3 linked regions of the Mus musculus genome follow. The protein of the gene in region 3 interacts with the protein of the main gene of each other region in a pairwise test. Links are inferred from orthologs where the notes say so. Each region holds a gene or a part of one and is shown on either strand. Other genes may lie near its edges. The genes, in order: Olfm1, Psmd4 and Egfr.

Region 1 (6,406 bases), on a different chromosome or scaffold from region 3:
TGGAGACACACAGGAGCAGGTGGAGCAGGAGGACTCAGGTATAAGTCAAGAGGCTCAATTTACATGAGAGGGGCTCAGGTATGGATGCAAGTGGAGAGGTTCAGGTACATGTGGAAAGACACAAATGCAGGTGCAAGTCGAGAGACCTGGATTCAAGTTAGAGGCTCAGGTGTGGCTGCAGGTGTACAGGCTTCGGGGGTGGGGGTGGGGTGGAAAAACTTGAGCTAGAGCTGAAAGGGCAATTCTGTATTCACTGTACACCTCTGTTCCAATCGCATTAGGAAATGATCAGATGTGTGTTTCTTCAGTTCTCTGTCAATTTAGACACATTCTGAGGTGACCAGTTTCGACAAGCATCAGTGTGGGTAGGGTTAGAATTTCCTTCCACCTGGCCTACTGATTGCCCTTCGATGTCAGCTTGGTTCTCAACAGCCAGTTCCACTCTGAGGCATTCTATGTGAGTTGATCAACTACGTTGAGTGCTTCTAATCCATTTCTTAGGGAAGCCTTGAACCTCTGGCTCCCTACATAGGCTTAGAAGAAGTATGAGCTGGAGGTCAAATCTTTGTCATTCCACAGTGACCTGTTGAGGTGAGGGTGGGAGACAGTTCCTGGCCAGTGGTACGAAAGGCTACCTACTTGTTCCTGGGACTACTTGACCAGACCAAAGCTTCACTGTTTCAAACTCTGAATTCCATTTCCTTTCAAAAGCCCAGCTAAGTTAAACTCCTCCAATTCAGGGCAGCAATTGTGGATCCTGTGGAAATCACTCACCTAACACAGAGTCAGGAACTCTTTGAAACCACTATAGTTATATGGATATATGGCTATATCTATATGGTTATAAATCCCCACCTCTCTCCTTATGAGGAAATACTTGCATTGCTTGTGATATTTGACTGACAGCAGCTCCAGAGGTGTGTCAGAGGGCTCAGGGTCATCACACCTTATATCAAAGCCCAGCTCCGCAGCCTGCCTTGCACAGGTTGCTGGCTGAACCCATATTTATCATTTGAAAAGGTGACAATGACTGTCACCAGAGCAGGCCAGTCTTATTCCTACGCTCTTAACACATCACAGGAGAAAGCTACTATCGTCAAGCCCATTTTAAAAATGAGAGAGCTGAGTCTCAATAAAGCTCATTAGCTAGGTCACTGTCTCATACAAGTTCATAGCAGAGCTCCCCTTGACCCCAAGGTCACTTGACCTCTGGGAGGGACTTCTGCCCATTAGAGAGCAGGAAAGGTTTAATGGTGCTTGGCCATGGAGTGTGCCTAACAAAGACAGTTATGGTCTCTATGCTGCATCTGACACAGAGCTTAGAGCATGTTGCACTGTGTATCTTGCACTAAGTAGGAATTCAATAAAAGGTATGACTCCTGAGACGCCTTGAGAACTTTGAGGACTGTACTGGGCTGGATTTGAAATTGTTGATAAACATTAAGCGCTCCTTACCTTTGTGTAGTAGGAAGCAAGTGAGTAGACACAGCCACGGCCCTGATTCTGTTCAGAAAATGCCTGGCAGAGGATGTAGGGCAGAGAGCCTTGCATCTCCGGCTGCTGCATCCAGCAGGACCACTGGGTGTGACTGGACTGCAGTACCAGATTTCACGGAGAGATGGCGCCCTTCCCTAACAGTTGTAATTCGCTGGCATCTGACCCAAACTGGAGGCACCAATGAATGCCATGCATTAACCAGAGAAACAACTCCAATTGACTTCTTGAGCCAGCAGGGCTCACGCCCAGCACTCGGGCCAGGGTCATCTTGGCTGTTGACGTTTTCTCTGCAAATGAGGACTGAACACAGAGAGACAAGCCCCCGGAAGATGTCATATCCCTCTTGGCAGACCCCAGGAGGCCTGCCTTTGTTCTGACATCTCTTCCTGGTCTATAATTGACCAGGTGGGAAAGAGCGCAGGGGTAGGGGGCTGCGAATAGGCTGGCTTTCCCTGCCCGGGACTGGAACAACTTGGAGGAATGCCTGCAGAAACTGGCTTTCCTCAGCTTAGAGGGCTTGCTTCAAAGTCAAAAGCACTATGAAGTTGTGTTTGCCGGCTGTTCTGTTTTGCTGAGACTTACAAGTCTTGGCACAGATACTGCTGAAGCTTGCCTGGCCCTGATCTGGGTCCCTGCGAGGGACCCCTGTCCATCTAAGCCTACAGCATAGACGCCAGATACTCTAACCCCGCCCCTCCCCGCCCCCCGTGCATGTACCATACCCCACAATCATGGGTGTGGCCCCTCTAGTTCCTCCTGAGCCCTATGCTTCCAGCAGCTCCTGACGGTAGGTTGGCACACTCTCTCTCCTTCATCCTCTACTGTGCACAGCAGGCATACCGCCCCCCTCCAGTCCCTCTCTGTTTAAACCTGCTCCCACAAGCCCAGGGTGTTCCCCCGCTAGGACTTCCAACTGTCCCCTCCTTCTGAGGTAGTTGTCCAAGGTTCCCAGCAGTGTCTCTCACTTTGTAGCTACCTCTTTACTCCTGCGCTGACACTGGAGACTCCACCCAAGCTACTCTTTCCTGCTGGGGCTCAGGAGACACCCCAAACTGACTGGACTTAGTCCACCAGGGAAGGCAAGCCCAGCAGCAGGGGAGGAGACCCTTGACCACAAGCAGGCCGGGCCTGGGCGAGACAAAACCGTGAGGGTGACCGAGAGAGCTGGGCGAGGGGGTGTTCTGTGGATGGGTGCCATGCGAGATTCTTGAGGTTTTATATTTTTTTTTTACGATTTGTGGCGGCGTTTTATCCGTCCTCCTGGGTGACCCTAACTCTTCGGCCGACCGGTTTGCAGACCTCGCTGCCTGCAGCCAGGGGGCGTCGCGGAGCCGGAGCTCGGAGGAAAAATCCACCCATTTCCTGGGCAGATTGCGTCGGCCGCCGCCCGGCCTTGTCCCCGCCCCCCGGCCGCGGCCCCCGCGCACAGCCCGCGCCGCGCTCAGAACCCGGTGGCCCTTCTCGAGAGCGGAGCGCGCGGGGACGCTGCAGCGGCGGGCAGCGCGGGCAGGCAGCGCGCGCCGGGCAGGGCCGCCTGGTCACCTCCCGGCGCCGGGGCGGCGCGGCGATGGCCAGTGCGCACAGGGAGGCAGAGACCGGCGGGCGGCGGCGGGCAGAGGGGGCGCGGGGACGCGGCCGGGCGCCCCTGCCCGCCGTGGTGCCCGCCGCCTGAGGCTGCCCGGGGCGCGGGAGCCGGCGCCGGCGCGGCGCGGGCGCAGGAGGCCACTCGAGGCGCGATGTCGGTGCCGCTGCTGAAGATCGGGGTCGTGCTAAGCACCATGGCCATGATCACCAACTGGATGTCCCAGACGCTGCCCTCGCTGGTGGGCCTCAATACCACCCGGCTTTCGGCCGCCAGCGGCGGGACGCTGGACCGCAGCACCGGCGTAAGTGCGCCCGCCTTGAGCCCTCGCGGCCCCTCCTCCCTCCTGCCTCCTCTCGGGTCGAGCCCCGGGCTGGCCCGGCGGTGCGGCACAGGATGGGGTCACCCTGGGAGGGAGGGTTACAAGGGCCGGGGTCACGAGCCCACCCTCTGCCCTGCAGCCAAGCAGTGCCTTCAGCTGCGGCCGCCACTCGCACTCTGGCGTTTCGGGGCGATGCTTTTTGCTCCCAGTCCCCCGGAGGGGCTTGAGGACACCTGCTTTGGTGATGGTGGGAGGGGTTCAAAGTCCAGAGTCCTCGTTCACTAATATTAGAAAATCTTTCTTTGCAAAGCTTAGGAAACTGAAGCTAGGGACTTGGGGACTTAGCCAAGGTCACTCAGCAAGTAAGGGGTGGAGGTGCTGCTTAAAACCCTTTGTGGGCTAGGTCCAGCCAGGACTCAGCTCGCCCTACTTTGTAAAAGACGGACTGGACCAGTGCAGAGTGGGGCCCAAGGCAAAAGACCAGAGCTTGTGATCTCACCTGAGCCCCCCAAATCCCAAGGGACCCTTCCGGTCTCATCTCGGTTGGAAGATCTCAGCGTGCACTCTGGAGGAGGTTGAGAGGAGCTGGGCGGGACCCAGCTGCCGATCTGTCTTCACCCACCCCTCTCTACTGGCCTCTGACACGGAAATCGAATCTCCATGTCATCGGCAGCCTGCGGATGGGGAGCTATGGCTGGGGGTTGGGTGGAGGGTCTGGATAAGGCTGACTTCCATGATAGATGGAGCAGGCTGAGCAGAGACCACCCTTAAGTCAGGGGCCACTGGAAAGGGACCCTGGCATAACCTTCTCAGTGGAAAGGACAGGTGAGGGACCATTCTCCTCCAGTTTGATCCCAAGAGCTGGGTGGTGTGACCCACCACCACCACCACCACCATCTATCACTCTTGTAGGGTCTGCCTCTCCTGTTGTTTTAAAAAGAGTTTTCCTAGTGCCCTGGTACTGGGAGTGGTGTCCCACTCCTTAAATCCCAGAGGCAGGTGGGTCTCTGTGAGTTTGAGGCCAGCCTGGTCTACAGAGTGAGTTCCCTGACATTCAGAGCTGCGTAATGAGACTCTGTCTCAAAAAAAAAAAAAAAAAAAAAAAAGCCAAACAAAAATATCACCATGAGTTTCCCTGATAAGGATTTTGGATGCTTGTGTCCTAAGCTGGATGAATGAAATGAAGTATAGCACTACCTGCTTCTCTGCCTTCTTCCCATCCTTATCTAAAAATAGCAGGGAAGTGCAGGATGCCAGGGAAGGGCTTGGAGACTGGGTAGGCTGCAGTGGCTGGAGGGCAGGGGTCATGGTGGTGTGTATGCAGGAGCCTTGGTGGCTTCTGCCCCTGCTGTGTATCTGAAGGTCAGGGTCATGGGTGGTATAGAAGGCCTGCAAGGTGAATCCAGCCACTCAGTTCTGGGTCCTTGGTGGTCTTTGGGCAAACCCTCAGGATTGAGGTTAAGGGTGACCCTTACACAATATATTTGTTGACATCCACCAAATGGCTAGTGCGTGGGGGAGCTTCATGGAGTTGGAAATCAACATCTGAGCCAGGCTGCTTTTGTTCGGGAGACAACACAGCTCTAGGGTTGCTGCTCTCAGTTCTTAGGTGCCGACTCAGGACTCATAACAATTGTGCTTGTCTCCAAGTGTTAGGGAACAGGAGCTCAAGGCTCGTCAGCATCTTGCTGGAAGAAGAGGGTATCTGATTCCCTAAGCCATTAGCTACTGGTTTCTTATATGGCCCCCTCACCCAACCTAGTGCATCGGCGGCCCCTCCCACCTCCCCCGGCATTAATTTGGTTAGAGGTCAAAACTCTGAGCACCCAGGGTTGAACATGCATTTTAAGGCACTGTTCCTCTCCAATTCTTTGAGACCTCAGCACCTGGGTACAGGTCTCCCTCATCCTCACATTCTCTCTTTCTCTCCTCGTGCCCTTCCCTGCCTGCCCTTCTCCAGGTGTTGCCCACCAACCCCGAGGAGAGCTGGCAGGTGTACAGCTCTGCCCAGGACAGTGAGGGCAGGTGTATCTGCACAGTGGTCGCCCCCCAGCAGACCATGTGTTCGCGGGATGCCCGCACAAAACAGCTGAGGCAGCTACTGGAGAAGGTGAGTCCGTGCAAGGGGTTGATGTGTGAGTTTGCACATGCAGAGTGCAGTGTGGCGGCCTGAGGCTTGGCTGGGCCTTCACTGGCATGGCCCACGCTCTAAACATTTGTGACTGAATGAATGGGCAGATGACCGAGTGGCTAGGAGAATGGAGAGAGGACAAGGGTGGCCCTGGTTGGGAGATGAGTACACCTGCTTCCTGGGCTCTGAGGGCTCTAGGAAGGAGCTTGTTGGGAAAGCCAGAAGCATGGCTCTCCTTCGTCACATGCCATCTCTCCTCTGAGCAATGCTCAGGGTCTGGTCCAAAGGCTCCACAATGCTGCCAGGGAAACGGTGGGTTCCTGATATATGGCACACAGGCTGTCCGTGGGGATGTCTCCGTCCCACCTGCCAAGTCCCCCCTGCCCGCATGGATGCTCCTAGTGGTTGCTTCCTAACAAGAGGGCAGCGATGTTTCTATGCACACATTCTGAGTCTTGTCTCACTTCATTGTCACAAGACCTGAGCACAGCTGGTGGCACTGGTCACTCCTCAGTTTGATGTCCCCAGGCTACACAGCTGGTTGGAAAGGGAGATGGTTCTAATCACTGAACCAGTATCTTCCTATTGGGATTCTGTTTCTTGCCAAGAGTACCTATAGGCTGCCCCCAGGGACCCCAGATTCTGCAGCTGACTTCACTATTACAGGTCCCTGGAGTGCTACCATGGGGAAAAGGGAAAATGAGGGGCTGTTCCGCCCTGCCCAACTCCCTCTCCCAAGAAAAGATGCCTCCAGGCATGAACCCTTCCTACTCAGAGACAGTGGATCACGTATCACGCATACACACACACACCCCAGAAAGCTGGGCTTTCCCTACTGATTGGCTTTGGACTTTTCAAGCCCTCACCTGTGTGA
Region 2 (6,306 bases), on a different chromosome or scaffold from region 3:
TGCCTTTGATCTCTGTAGGTGCCCGCACACACACCTAAAAACAATAAATATAAATCTCGAAAGTTACTCATTATTCATCTGAAATTAAAATTTAACTTTTAAGTCCTATATTTTTGTTTTTTTTTTTTTTAATTTTTTTTTTTTTTTTTAGATTTATTTATTTATTATATGTAAATACACTGTAGCTGTCTTCAGACACACCAGAAGAGGGAGTCAGATCTTGTTACGGATGGTTGTGAGCCACCATGTGGTTGCTGGGATTTGAACTCTGGACCTTCGGAAGAGCAGTCGGGTGCTCTTACCCACTGAGCCATCTCACCAGCCCTATTTTTGTTTTCTAAGTTTGCTTTCACTTCTGGGATAGAGTATGTTAAAATAGAAGATGGATTTAGAATCCAAACAGTTCCCTGGCTCTCACTTACATTTTGCATATTGTTGGAGAATTGTAGTAACTTCTCTGTGTCTCATAGTACAAGCAGGTAAGCCATATGTGATGGTGCTCTGTAAAGTATAGAGCTCTGTAGCGGCATGGTGTTTGGGGAATCCTCAGAATTTAAGAGCTGTAAAAAGACATGTTGAGGAGAGGTCATTACAAAGTTGCTGAAGTAAGAGTCCCGTGTTTGGGAAATAGACCAGAGTGAACCTTAACATAGATTGTTGTAAGGTGGGAGGAGTCACTGTAGAAAGAAATGACTGAAGAGCTTGAACTCTGTTCTATACCCCAGTGAGAAGATTCTGAGGGTGATGGAGTCAGACCTTTGTACAGACTGACACTGATTTAAGAATATTGATCTGGCCAGATGTGGTACACACCTGTTGAGAACACTGGATGGTTGAGACAGAAGGATCATGAGTTCAAGGCCAACTTGGAATGCATATTGAGGTCCTGTTTAAAAAAAACAAAAAACAAAAAAAAGCCAGGCATGGTGGCACACACCTTTAATCCCAGCACTCGGGAGGCAGAGGCAGGTGGATTTCTGAGTTGAGGCCAGCCTGGTCTACAGAGTGAGTTCCAGGACAGCCAGGGCTATACAGAGAAACCCTGCCTCGAAAAAACCAAAAACAACAACAACAAAAAAGCAAAAAACAAAAAAATTAGATTTATACATAAAAGGAAAGAATAGAACCTGAGACCTTAGCCGTCAGTGTAATTGCCACAGAATGAGACCCTCTTGTTTTCTATGAGGTGTCTTGGATTTCCAGGCAACAGAGTTTTCTGTAGGGGTCTATTCTAAAATGCAAGTGTTTTGACTTTAGCTTTAATCTGCTGAGCCAGATTCTCTTGTTAGTTTTTAATGCATGGCATTACATTTGGCCAGTAGGTAGGGAGTTCTAGAACTCGAACTCCGTTGTATTGATTGTTATAAAGAGATGTTAGCTAGCGTCTGATGTGCTGGTCCACACCTGTAATCACAGCACTGAAGAGGTCCACTCAGGAAGATCAGCTCAGTGTCGTCTTCAGTTACAGAAAGCAGTCTCTTTTCTTTTTTGGTTTTTTGGTCTTTCTTTCTTTCTTTCTTTCTTTCTTTCTTTCTTTCTTTCTTTCTTTCTTTCGACAGGGTTTCTCCTGCCTCTGCCTCCCAAGTGCTGGGATTAAAGGCGTGCACCACCACACCCGGCTTAGAAAGCTGTTTCTAAGGGAGACTGAGTTTGAGGGAGAGGTTGGGAGGGGACAGAGTGACAGGATCTCAGTTTGTTGCCCCCAGATTCTGGATTCAAGAAATCCTCTTTTGACTTCCCAAGTAGCTGAGCCACAGGTATGCTCTGTTGCCTGTCCTGTGTTGATGGATTAATTGATTTTGCAATATTGAGGATCAAGCGCAGGGCCTTGTTCATGCTAGAAGCACCCCAGCACAGGACTTCATCCCAGCAGTATTCAGTGTTAAAATTATGATGTCATGGAAAGCTTGGGTAATACCTTAAGCTCAAAAGTTTATGATTTGGGGAATGAAAGAGCGAATCCCATGGTGCTGAGGGAAAGCAGTTCTAAGAAATGCAGGTAACATTACCCCATTCATACCAAGCTGGAAACAGGGAAAGCTGGCCAGTGTGGTGTTTTGTTTGAAACAGGATCTTGCTATGTAGCCCTGCCAGGAATTTCCTGTAATCCTCCTGCCTCTGGAATAGGAGGATTAACATTGACAATGTGGCTTTTTAAGGAACACATGCACCTGTGGTTTTTCTACCAGTAACCACTCTCCTTCCCAATGATGGCGAGGGCAACACAGCCTCAGTGCTCATTGTCAGTTCCCTTTCCCTCCTACCCCCCACCCCCTTCACCTTTCCTATTCTGACTGCTTTCCCCATCTTTATTTATTCGTTGTCCTTGTGTACAGTCCTTGCACTTAGTAGCTGTTCCATCCAAACTGTGCTTGAAGCCTCTGGTTTTATATATGGACCCGCAGCTTTATTTGAAGTTTGAGAGGCTGCCACACCTCTCCTGGAAGAGAAGTTGGATCTGTTTCAGGAAAGCGGAGCTTAGAGACATGGCCAGTGGATCAGCTGCATCTTCACATAGTTTGTTTACAGATGTGTGTTTGGGTCACCACTAAACTACTCTCCTGGAATGCTTCCTGTTTTGTTGTATGATCAAATCCAGGATATCATACATGTAATCTGTGTTCACCTTTGCTAAGTATTAGGTACTATGCTCAGTGCTTTATATGCATGTAATTCTCAAAGCAACTCCGTGTAGAGAATACAAGAAAAACTACACAGAATTTGGCAAGATAGCTCAGCTGCTAAAAGTGCTTGCCTTGTAAGTCTGATGACCTGTTCAGTTTCTGGAACCCTGGGAGGAGAGACCCAGTTCCCAAAAGCTGTCCTCTGACTTCTATATGCAAGTGGCAGCAGCATGTGCCCATATTTGTTCTGAGTTCCCAAGTGTAATAGAATAAAAAAGTGACCTTAGAGAAACATGCAATTTTCTTAGAATTAAAAAATTAACCAGGGGCTGGAAAGTGATGTTCAATGGCTGCTCTTACAGAGGGCACGGCTCTAATTCCCAGCATCTACGAGTTGTTTCAAATTGTCTGTAACTTCAGTCCCAGCGAATCCAACACCGGCTTCTGCCTTCCATAGGCAGTAGGTGAGCACATGGCACCATACATACAAGCAGACAGAACAGCCATACACACAAATGGATAGATTTAAAAGTAGGTGCAGACTCAGGAGGCAGAGGCAGGCGGATCTCGTGAGTTTGAGGCCAACCTGGTCTACAGAGTGAGTTCCAGGACAGCCAGGGCTACACAGAGAAAAACCCTGTCTCGGAAAAAAAAAAAAAAGTAGGTGCAGAATGAGAACCTGAGCTTGGACCTCTGATTGACACCCCACTCCTGATAATCCTGTTTCTGCTTTTTGAGTACATTACCCTTCCTTACCATTTTTTGATTCTATTTATTACTAGATAAAACTTTATAAGGTGGAAAGAAGTTACCTCTGAGCTAGATTTTCTTTGGAGTAGAATAAAGTATCTTGTTCTGGGCACTGCTCTCTTTCCTTAGCACAAGTAGTGCCACTGGCTGCAAGAACTCTCCTAGACCTCATGGGTCACCAAGAGTTGGTCTTGAACCAGGAATGTGGCTCAATGGTAGATGGTAGGTTGTGTGACCAAAAAAGGTGGGAAACCGAGAAGCTGGAGTTTATGTTTCATATTATGTAGAGTTTGGTTGGGGTTGGTTTTGTTGTTGTTGTTGTTTTCTTTGAGATAGGGTCTCACATAGCCCAGGCTGGCCTCAAACTTACAATGTATTTGAGGCTGTCCATGAATTCCAGATCCTCCTAGCTATATACACGGAGTTCCAGTATTACAGCTGTATGCTACCTCACCTGTTTAAGATGGAAAGAATTCCTGGCTGGAGAGATGGCTCAGCAGTTAGGAACACTGACTGCTTTTTCAGAGGTTCTGAGTTCAATTCCCAGCAACCACATGGTTCGCTCACAACCATCTGTAATGGGATCTGATGCCCTCTTCTGGTGTGTCTGAAGAGAGCAATAGTGTACTCACATATATAAAATAAATCTTTTTTTGTTTTGTTTTTTGGTTTTTTTTTTTTTTTTTTCGAGACAGTTTCTCTGTTTAGCCCTGGCTGTCCTGGAATTCATTCTGTAGACCAGGCTGGCCTTGGAACTCAGAAATCCATCTGTCTCTGCCTCCCAAGTGCTGGGATTAAAGGCATGTGCCACCACTGTGTTCCAAGAAGCCTGAGAGCCACCGCTGTACCACGTGTGTCTGGCAGGAGGTGTAGAAGGGGTCCTCCATTATAGAGGATGTTTCAGGGCATCCTCCAGTGTCCTTTTCTCCTTATCTGACAGTGTGGACAACAGTGAGTACATGCGGAACGGAGACTTCCTTCCCACCCGGCTGCAGGCCCAGCAGGATGCCGTCAACATTGTATGTCACTCAAAGACCCGAAGCAACCCTGAGAATAACGTGGGCCTGATCACACTGGCCAAGTACGTGGGACACAGTGGGGCTGTGAAGGTGGGTGGTGCTCCCATGTTGGGTTGCAGGTGACTGCCCTTTGGTTGATAGCACAGGCTATGCTCATCCAGTCCTGTGTTCCACCTCCTTCAGGAGTAGGACAGCTTGCTGCGCTGGGGGAGGGTGTCTTGATTTTGACTTGTTTTCCACACCGGGTTTTCATGTAGTCCTGGCTAACTTCAAACTTGATATGTACCTTTTTTTTTGCCTTGTTTTTTAAGACTTACTTTGTATTTTATGTATATAAATGTTTTGCCTACATGTATTATGTTTATGCACCATGGTCATGCATAATGCCCACAAAGGTCAGAAAAGGGGTTCACATCCCCTGGGACTGGAGTTAGAGCTGATTGTGAGTGCTGGGTGAGTGCTCTTAACCACTGAACCATGTCTTCAGAAAAAAAGATAAAAGTTGCTTTTAAGGTCTCTAAACAAAAGATGGCACACACCTTTAGTCTCAGCACTCGGGAGGCAGAGACAATTGGATTTCTGAGTTTGAGGCCAGCCTGGTCTACATAGTGAATTTCAGGACAGCCAGGGCTACACAGAGAAACCCTGTCTCTGAGGGAAAAAAGAAAGGAGAAGATGAATGGGCATGGTTAGGAGGCACTTGTGTGGTCTGAACTCACTAAAATTCTTTGCTCACATTTAGTGACTGTGAGGTGCTGACCACACTCACCCCGGACACTGGCCGTATCCTCTCCAAGCTCCACACTGTCCAACCCAAAGGCAAGATCACCTTCTGCACTGGCATCCGCGTGGCCCACGTGAGTCCTGTTGGCTCCCTGCTATGAGGGTCTGTGATCCTTTCTGTCCAGAGCTGTGATCTAGTGCTGAATAGAGCAAGACGAGAGGACCTGGACCAGTGCTTCTCAGCCTTCAATACAGTTCCTCGTGCTGTGATGACCCCAGCCGTAAAATTGTTTTGGTGCTACTCATAACTACGATTTTGCCTATTGTTATGAATGATAAGGTTAATTTCTAATATGCTACCCTGTGAAACGGTCATCCAACCCCTCCAAGGTGGGAGCCACTGATCTAGAGGGTGCTTACTCAGTATAGAAAGGATGGGGCAGGATGAGACTTGGTCTTACACTCTGGTCCACTTGAGGCACAACAGAAAGAGGAGGCATGTACCGAGTGAGCATTATGGTAGACTTGAGGTTCATAGGTACTGTAAGGAGCAGGAAATGCAGACTGACTCAGGGACATGTGCTGCTGGGATTCACGGGAACTTCTTTTCCCTTCCAAGTTGGCTCTGAAGCACCGGCAGGGCAAGAATCACAAGATGCGCATCATCGCCTTTGTCGGTAGCCCTGTGGAGGACAACGAGAAGGATGTGAGTCCACAGACAGCCTGCCAGGCAGGCCTCCATTTGGAAGTGGCTTGCAGTACTTAGAACTGGGCAGAGGTGTTAGGCATGTCATCTGGGGAAAGGTGGATGTGTGATGTCAGTGTTGGGGCCAGACCTTTGGTAGGATGCTGAATTTCTGTATGCGTCTGTGAGGCAAATTCAGTCCTCACTACAGAGAATCAATTTCTTGATTTTTCTCCCTTTCTTCATAGCTGGTGAAACTAGCTAAACGCCTTAAGAAAGAAAAAGTGAATGTTGACATCATTAATTTTGGGGAAGAGGTAAGTCAGGGTTGCAGAGCATAGGATCCGATCCCACGTTATGAACACGGCCATCCTTTCATAGAGTTGAGCTCCCTCGGGGACTCTGGAGATGGCTGCAGCCGTAGACTGAGAAGCAGTAAGTGAAGGAGGTGTCTGTCTTGTGCTCTCTGCTCTACAGGAGGTGAACACAGAGAAGCTGACAGCCT
Region 3 (6,306 bases):
AGCATGTAAAACACCGAAAACTGTCACTGTCCCACTGACCTGCAGGCTGCCTGGCACTGGGTTCCTTTCATTTGGATGCCACATCCTTGACCAGACATGTTGTCCCTCCTATGACAGGTCTGCCAAAAGTTCCAAGATGAGGCCACATGCAAAGACACCTGCCCACCACTCATGCTGTACAACCCCACCACCTATCAGATGGATGTCAACCCTGAAGGGAAGTACAGCTTTGGTGCCACCTGTGTGAAGAAGTGCCCCCGTGAGTTTGCCCTTTCACCCAACAGTCCTCATTTCCTCTTCTGTCTTATGCTAGAGTCCTGGGCAGTTTGGAGGCAGCCACTGTGCTTGCCTTGTTGTCCTGTAGGCTAGTGTCTGCCTGGACAGGTGCAAGGATGAGAACCCCACTCAGTGCTGAGCAATGGAGGCAGAGGCAGCCTGCAGCAGTCAGGATGCCTTCCTTTAAAGGGTGGCTTGACCTGCACTGATCCAGTGTTGCTGGCAGCCAGACTGTATAGTACAAACCACCTATCGCTTCACCCCAAGTCAGAGAGGAAGCTTCAGTAACCTGGAGTGTCTTGGAGCTGACTAACACAAGGTCGTGACCCTCTGGGACAACCTTTGTTTGACTCTGCATTGTTTGACTCTGCATTAAACAGACCTAAATTAGAAAAGGCAGCAGACCCACCCCCTTGAGGAGAAGAATTTAGGGCTATGGCTGGGCTCTTGGAGTATTTTGGTTTTGGGTTTGCTTTGATTTACTCATTTGGGTTCAAGTTTTATTCATGTATGATGGTACTCTATGGTACCTATAGGAAAATGGCAACATAGATCGGTCCCAAACAGAGAAAGTGAAACAACTCATAAAGAGCCTTAAAACCAATCTTGACTTCTAGAAAGTAAATTAAGACAAAAAAAAATGTAAAGTGGAAACTATAAGGGTGAGATTTTGCCTACCTAGATTTAGGTGATTGAAGTCCCATTAGAAAACACACACAGAGAGGGGAGGGGAGGAAGAGGGAGAGGGAGAGAGAGGGGGAGGGAGAGGGGGAGGGAGAGGGGGAGGAAGAGGGAGAGCTAGAGAATAAGGTAAATGGAAAACTAAGATGAAGAAAAACTCATGACAGTCATGCCATAGATAGAATCTTTGTGTGAAGGCTTAGTAACAGATCTTTAAACTCTGCAGGAAACAAAACCTATGATGACAAGAGCATATGACTCACAGATATAGTACCAATGCCCACATTTTGAGCATGTATTTCAGAAACTCAAAATAGGAGCATAGAGTTTCTAGTAATACTGTAATCATAAATATTAATTAGGTTAGACTACATAAAGGTGAAGGGAGTGGAGAGAAAGATTGGGGCGCCTGTCTAGGAAGCAGAACAAACTGGTCCCCTCGTTGTCCCACCAAGAACTGCATGGTGGATGGGTGGGGAAGGGCAAAGCTGGTATCAAACAGAAGAAACTGTAGTTACCTCAATGGGACATGGTCTGTCTGATAAGCATTAGTGTGTGTGTACTACATATCTTAGGTTTCCTTGTATATTCTAAGCATAGACCTGTCAGAGGAAATTCATATTCAGCAAGGGGCTTTCAGCCAGTGAACACGCATGGTGGTGTTTCCTCTCATAGCTGTTTTGCACCTGAGATCAAGTATCTGTGTTTGTCCACATTACTGTCAGAAAAGCCATTAGACTAGAGCTTGGTTCCTCTTCTACTTGAAATCTGTCAGTCTTTCTCCTCAAAGAGAAGTCAACCAAACTAAGAGGGACCTTTTTAGCAGCCCATACACAGCAGGACATGAGGATGTTTGTGGAAGGTTAGGAGCACCTGCTGTAGCCTTCAACACCTTCTTTTCATTGCCTCTTCCTCAGGAAACTACGTGGTGACAGATCATGGCTCATGTGTCCGAGCCTGTGGGCCTGACTACTACGAAGTGGAAGAAGATGGCATCCGCAAGTGTAAAAAATGTGATGGGCCCTGTCGCAAAGGTAAGCAGTAGGGTTTTTTTCTTGATCTTTGTGCCGAACTCTTATGGCCACCTCCAAATAAACCCACCTTTTAATCTTTTTTTAAAAAAATATATTTATTTTGTCTGGAAAGTAGAAGGTAAACTTGCAAAGCCAAATTGCATGGTGGAGGTGGGGGAGTTCTCTTGAACCAGGTACAGAGGCGCCACCTGCAGCCCAGGTGGGTGAACTGTTGTAGCCAGAGAGAGGCGGAGCCAATGTCTTTGTGAGTGACTAGATTCAGTACAGCCAGAACATTCAAATCTGACAGAGGTCTGTGACAAGGACAGCCCAAGTGCCACTCCAGTGACTGAAGGGAACAGCGAAGCCTGTCACAGGAGTCCTGGCACCTGGAGGGTCCCCTCAGGGTTGTTGGGATGAATCAATAGTGCACGGTAGCAGGGTTCTTGCTTCCGCTTGTGCAGACCCAGCCTTCTTAATTCACATTCTTAATTCACATCTCTCTTAACAGTTTGTAATGGCATAGGCATTGGTGAATTTAAAGACACACTCTCCATAAATGCTACAAACATCAAACACTTCAAATACTGCACTGCCATCAGCGGGGACCTTCACATCCTGCCAGTGGCCTTTAAGGGGTGAGTAACAGCTGAGCCATCTGGATGAAGAACTGTAGAATCTGCTTTAAGCCACGGAGAGTGTCCAATAATCACGTTGCTGTCTGTTTCAGGGATTCTTTCACGCGCACTCCTCCTCTAGACCCACGAGAACTAGAAATTCTAAAAACCGTAAAGGAAATAACAGGTTTGTACTCGGGTGTGCAGGAGCATATATGGGAAATTAAATTTTATAGCGACTCCCAGACATTTCCCTTTCTTCCCTGACATGAGAATGTGGTGTCTGCAGCTTATCCATTATGAGTAATTCTTCGAGACATTTTTAAAAACCAGTTTCCCTTGATGCAAATTGAAAGCACTTTAAGCCACGGCTGCTGCAATCATGCTGGACTTGATGTGGACACATGGAGCGGTTCTTTCCTGCTTAGACTGTCCATCGTCCTTACAGACCCCAAAACCCCCAGAGAGAAGATGGAGGAAAAGATACAAGGTTGACGCTAACAGGCAGTGCAGGCTCTCGAGTTTCACAAACTAGATTTCAAAAGATTGTCCACCAGGGAGTCTTGGGTCTATGACTGCCACCAGCATGCCATTTTCGTCATCTATGAAGGGGAGATAATTTGATCTGAAAAACAGGATTAATATGAGGATCAGAGTTAAATGGAAAAAAATATTTAAAAGGAGACCATGGTAACAAGAGACTGGAGAAGAGTCAGAAAAGGATCCAGGTGTATAATCTGATATTCCTTATGGATGTCAGAGCCAGAGCACTTGTCACCTGCTCAGGTGGGAGTTGGCCTACGCATTGAGGGAAGGGCAGCCAGGGACTCTAGGTTGCATAGAAAGGACAGGATTCTTTCATATATATATATATATATATATATATATATATATATATATATATATATATGAAATATATATATATATATATGAAATATATATATGTGTGTGTGTGTGTGTGTGTGTGTATGTATGTATGTATGATATATATATCACCTGGACCTGTGTGAGGACATGCACTATCATCCTTGGTGATAGGAACAGGAAGAATCCACTGCCACGGTCCATACAGCAGCCTTATCTGAGTCCTAGAACACGCTTCCTACAACAAGGAAATTTCTAACAGTGTGAGTCTAAGCCTTTCTTCTTCCCTCTAGGCTTTTTGCTGATTCAGGCTTGGCCTGATAACTGGACTGACCTCCATGCTTTCGAGAACCTAGAAATAATACGTGGCAGAACAAAGCAACAGTAAGTTGGCCATAACAAAAGCCTAGTAGAATTTTTTCCCCAAGATTGTCAAAAGAAACAGAAATAGGACAAAGACCGATCTTCTACTCGGCTTCCCCTAATGTGAGCAACTTATGTGAGTAGATATGAAAGTTAAGATAAATAATTTGACAAGGTGCCATGTTCTTCCCTGGACCATGTACTTCATTCTGAGTTTACCAGATTTTCCACGAATGCATCCATTCTTTTCTGTCCTCTCCAGGATCCCACACTGCATTAATGTCTGATGTCTTCCTAGTTCCCTTCAAACTTTCCCAGCTCCTATATCTTTGCTGATTTTTGTTGTCTTGACACTCTGGGAAAATATGACTGGGTGTTTTATAGGGCATCTCCTTGTTTGTGTTTGGTTAATATTTGATAATGAGGCAGTTGAAGACACATAACTTGTCACACCAGGGAGACAGAGAAGATGGGAGACAGGTGAAGAGCTTTCCTAGAGTAAGAGAAATCCTAAGATTTGTGGTGAGGAAAAGAAATCTGGAAATCTGTAGCTCAAATCTGTCTTGGAAACTTTCTAATTATGATAGCTTTTTCTGACATTTACCACCACTAACATCACTAATCCCACTAATATTGTGGAATATTTAACAAGTCAAAGCACATACACACAGAATATACATTGCTGCCCATAAACTCCTTTAAATAGGCACTTCTGATACTAAGCATGCCACTGCTTTTGCTTCCTGCCTTTCCTCTTAAATTCTCAGGAATGCTCTCGTTCTGAGGTTAGCACCGTGTTTCAAGCGACTGCACAAGAGACTTAGCCTTAATTTTAAGCATTTAAGCTATGGGATAACCACTAGTTCCTGACATGACTCACAGAAAGCTGGGACTTGACCTGCAGGAAAGACCCCAGCCAGACCCTGACTCCTTGGCTTTTCTGGACATACGCTGGGGGAGAATTCCCAGTAAGTGATGGTTGTGGATCTCCTACCCAGACCCCTCACTTCCCTGAAAACAGGCTGTGGGGAAAGATAATTCATGAAGGGGGAAATGAGAATAAGCATGACTAGGAAGAGGGTCTGCCAAATACTACTTTAAACTTTGATATTTAACCCCATAGCTTCCATTCTCTTCTTTTGTCCTGGCTCAGCTGGCTCATTCCTGAGGCTAGTGTCAAGAAGATGCCTACAAATGCACACCGCTTCTATGTGCATTTCCATCAGTCACATGTGACAAATTGTGCCTAGCAGGGGCATACATTTGAGCTCTGACCTCAACCATGATCCTGAGTCTGTCTCCCTGCCCTCGCCAAGTGCACACATCCTGCAGAGTCCTGTGATTTGGGACTCCATTCTCTCTTATCTGACTAAGTTTCATCCAGACACATATCTGCAGAATCTTATTTAATCAAATATGAGGTATCATGACTTGAACATCACCCTTCCATGCTCTTCCTCCATGGCTCTCCTTCAGTGTTCACCCATGGCTGACCCAGTCCTCACTAACGCTGCATTTATTTCTATGGACTCAAAAAAAACCTCTGCCGGTGTGATTATATCACCTTTAGACAGAGTCCCTAAGTAAAAGAGACAAATATTTAACCTGTGTGGTATTTGCAAATGGAACCACAGATATTCACTCAATAAACATGACTGGGCAGCTGAGTGGTAGGCAGATGGACAGATATTCATATTTACCTTAAGTACATTTTGATGTTGCCAGATGCTAGAAAGCATGTTCTTGATTTCTAGGAAAACTATAAATATAGCAAATGAAATGACATGAATCCTCTGATTAACTCCTCCTGTTTATCCAAGTTTAAAGATAAAAAGCAAATGAGAAACTGTCTTTTCTTTGAAGAAATCTATAAAAAAACCCTTGCATTTTTTAAAACGTTGTGATTCATACTTTTCGCAGAATGATTAGTAATAACTGGAACACAGGATTCAGGAAACATAAGTGGCCCAGAAAAACTGAATTTGAGGATGGCCCATTGCTTTCGCTATCACACAACAGTGCAATTTTCTTCTCTCCCATTTAGTGGTCAGTTTTCTTTGGCGGTCGTTGGCCTGAACATCACATCACTGGGGCTGCGTTCCCTCAAGGAGATCAGTGATGGGGATGTGATCATTTCTGGAAACCGAAATTTGTGCTACGCAAACACAATAAACTGGAAAAAACTCTTCGGGACACCCAATCAGAAAACCAAAATCATGAACAACAGAGCTGAGAAAGACTGCAGTAAGTAGCTGGTCCCCTCTCACCTGCACAGATAGTTCCCGGAGGTAACTTAGTTTTGGAAGACATACTGAAGAGGTTTTCACCAAACATTCTAATTGCTTTTGCTCATTCCTTCATTGAATTAAAATCTGCATATTCCTAATTGTAACGCTAGCATCAGAATTGTTTCCAGAATGTTCTCATCTCATAGGGTGAATTTGCCTTGTGGGGTTTCAACGTGAAATGTCCTTCATAGGCTCATGGGTCTG

Evidence for each region.
Region 1: the proteins of Egfr (region 3) and Olfm1 interact in a protein complementation assay, tested with the Homo sapiens proteins (2 studies listed by BioGRID and IntAct). The link is inferred for Mus musculus from reciprocal best matches to the Homo sapiens genes EGFR and OLFM1.
Region 2: the proteins of Egfr (region 3) and Psmd4 interact in a protein complementation assay, tested with the Homo sapiens proteins (2 studies listed by BioGRID and IntAct). The link is inferred for Mus musculus from reciprocal best matches to the Homo sapiens genes EGFR and PSMD4.

What each region holds. Positions count from the first base shown.
Region 1 is NC_000068.7:28,202,717-28,209,122, forward strand, and holds the start of Olfm1 (noelin isoform a precursor), read left to right. Parts: upstream 1-2,972; 5' UTR 2,973-3,233; coding exon 3,234-3,383; intron 3,384-5,361; coding exon 5,362-5,511; intron 5,512-6,406. UniProt on the Homo sapiens protein: Contributes to the regulation of axonal growth in the embryonic and adult central nervous system by inhibiting interactions between RTN4R and LINGO1. Inhibits RTN4R-mediated axon growth cone collapse.
Region 2 is NC_000069.6:95,034,754-95,041,059, reverse strand, and holds part of Psmd4 (26S proteasome non-ATPase regulatory subunit 4), read left to right. Parts: intron 1-4,314; coding exon 4,315-4,455; exon of another isoform or gene 4,456-4,483; intron 4,484-5,135; coding exon 5,136-5,250; intron 5,251-5,735; coding exon 5,736-5,822; intron 5,823-6,049; coding exon 6,050-6,118; intron 6,119-6,278; coding exon 6,279-6,306. UniProt on the Homo sapiens protein: Component of the 26S proteasome, a multiprotein complex involved in the ATP-dependent degradation of ubiquitinated proteins.
Region 3 is NC_000077.6:16,869,102-16,875,407, forward strand, and holds part of Egfr (epidermal growth factor receptor isoform 1 precursor), read left to right. Parts: intron 1-117; coding exon 118-259; intron 260-1,874; coding exon 1,875-1,991; intron 1,992-2,481; coding exon 2,482-2,608; intron 2,609-2,700; coding exon 2,701-2,774; intron 2,775-3,744; coding exon 3,745-3,835; intron 3,836-5,858; coding exon 5,859-6,058; intron 6,059-6,306. UniProt on the Homo sapiens protein: Receptor tyrosine kinase binding ligands of the EGF family and activating several signaling cascades to convert extracellular cues into appropriate cellular responses.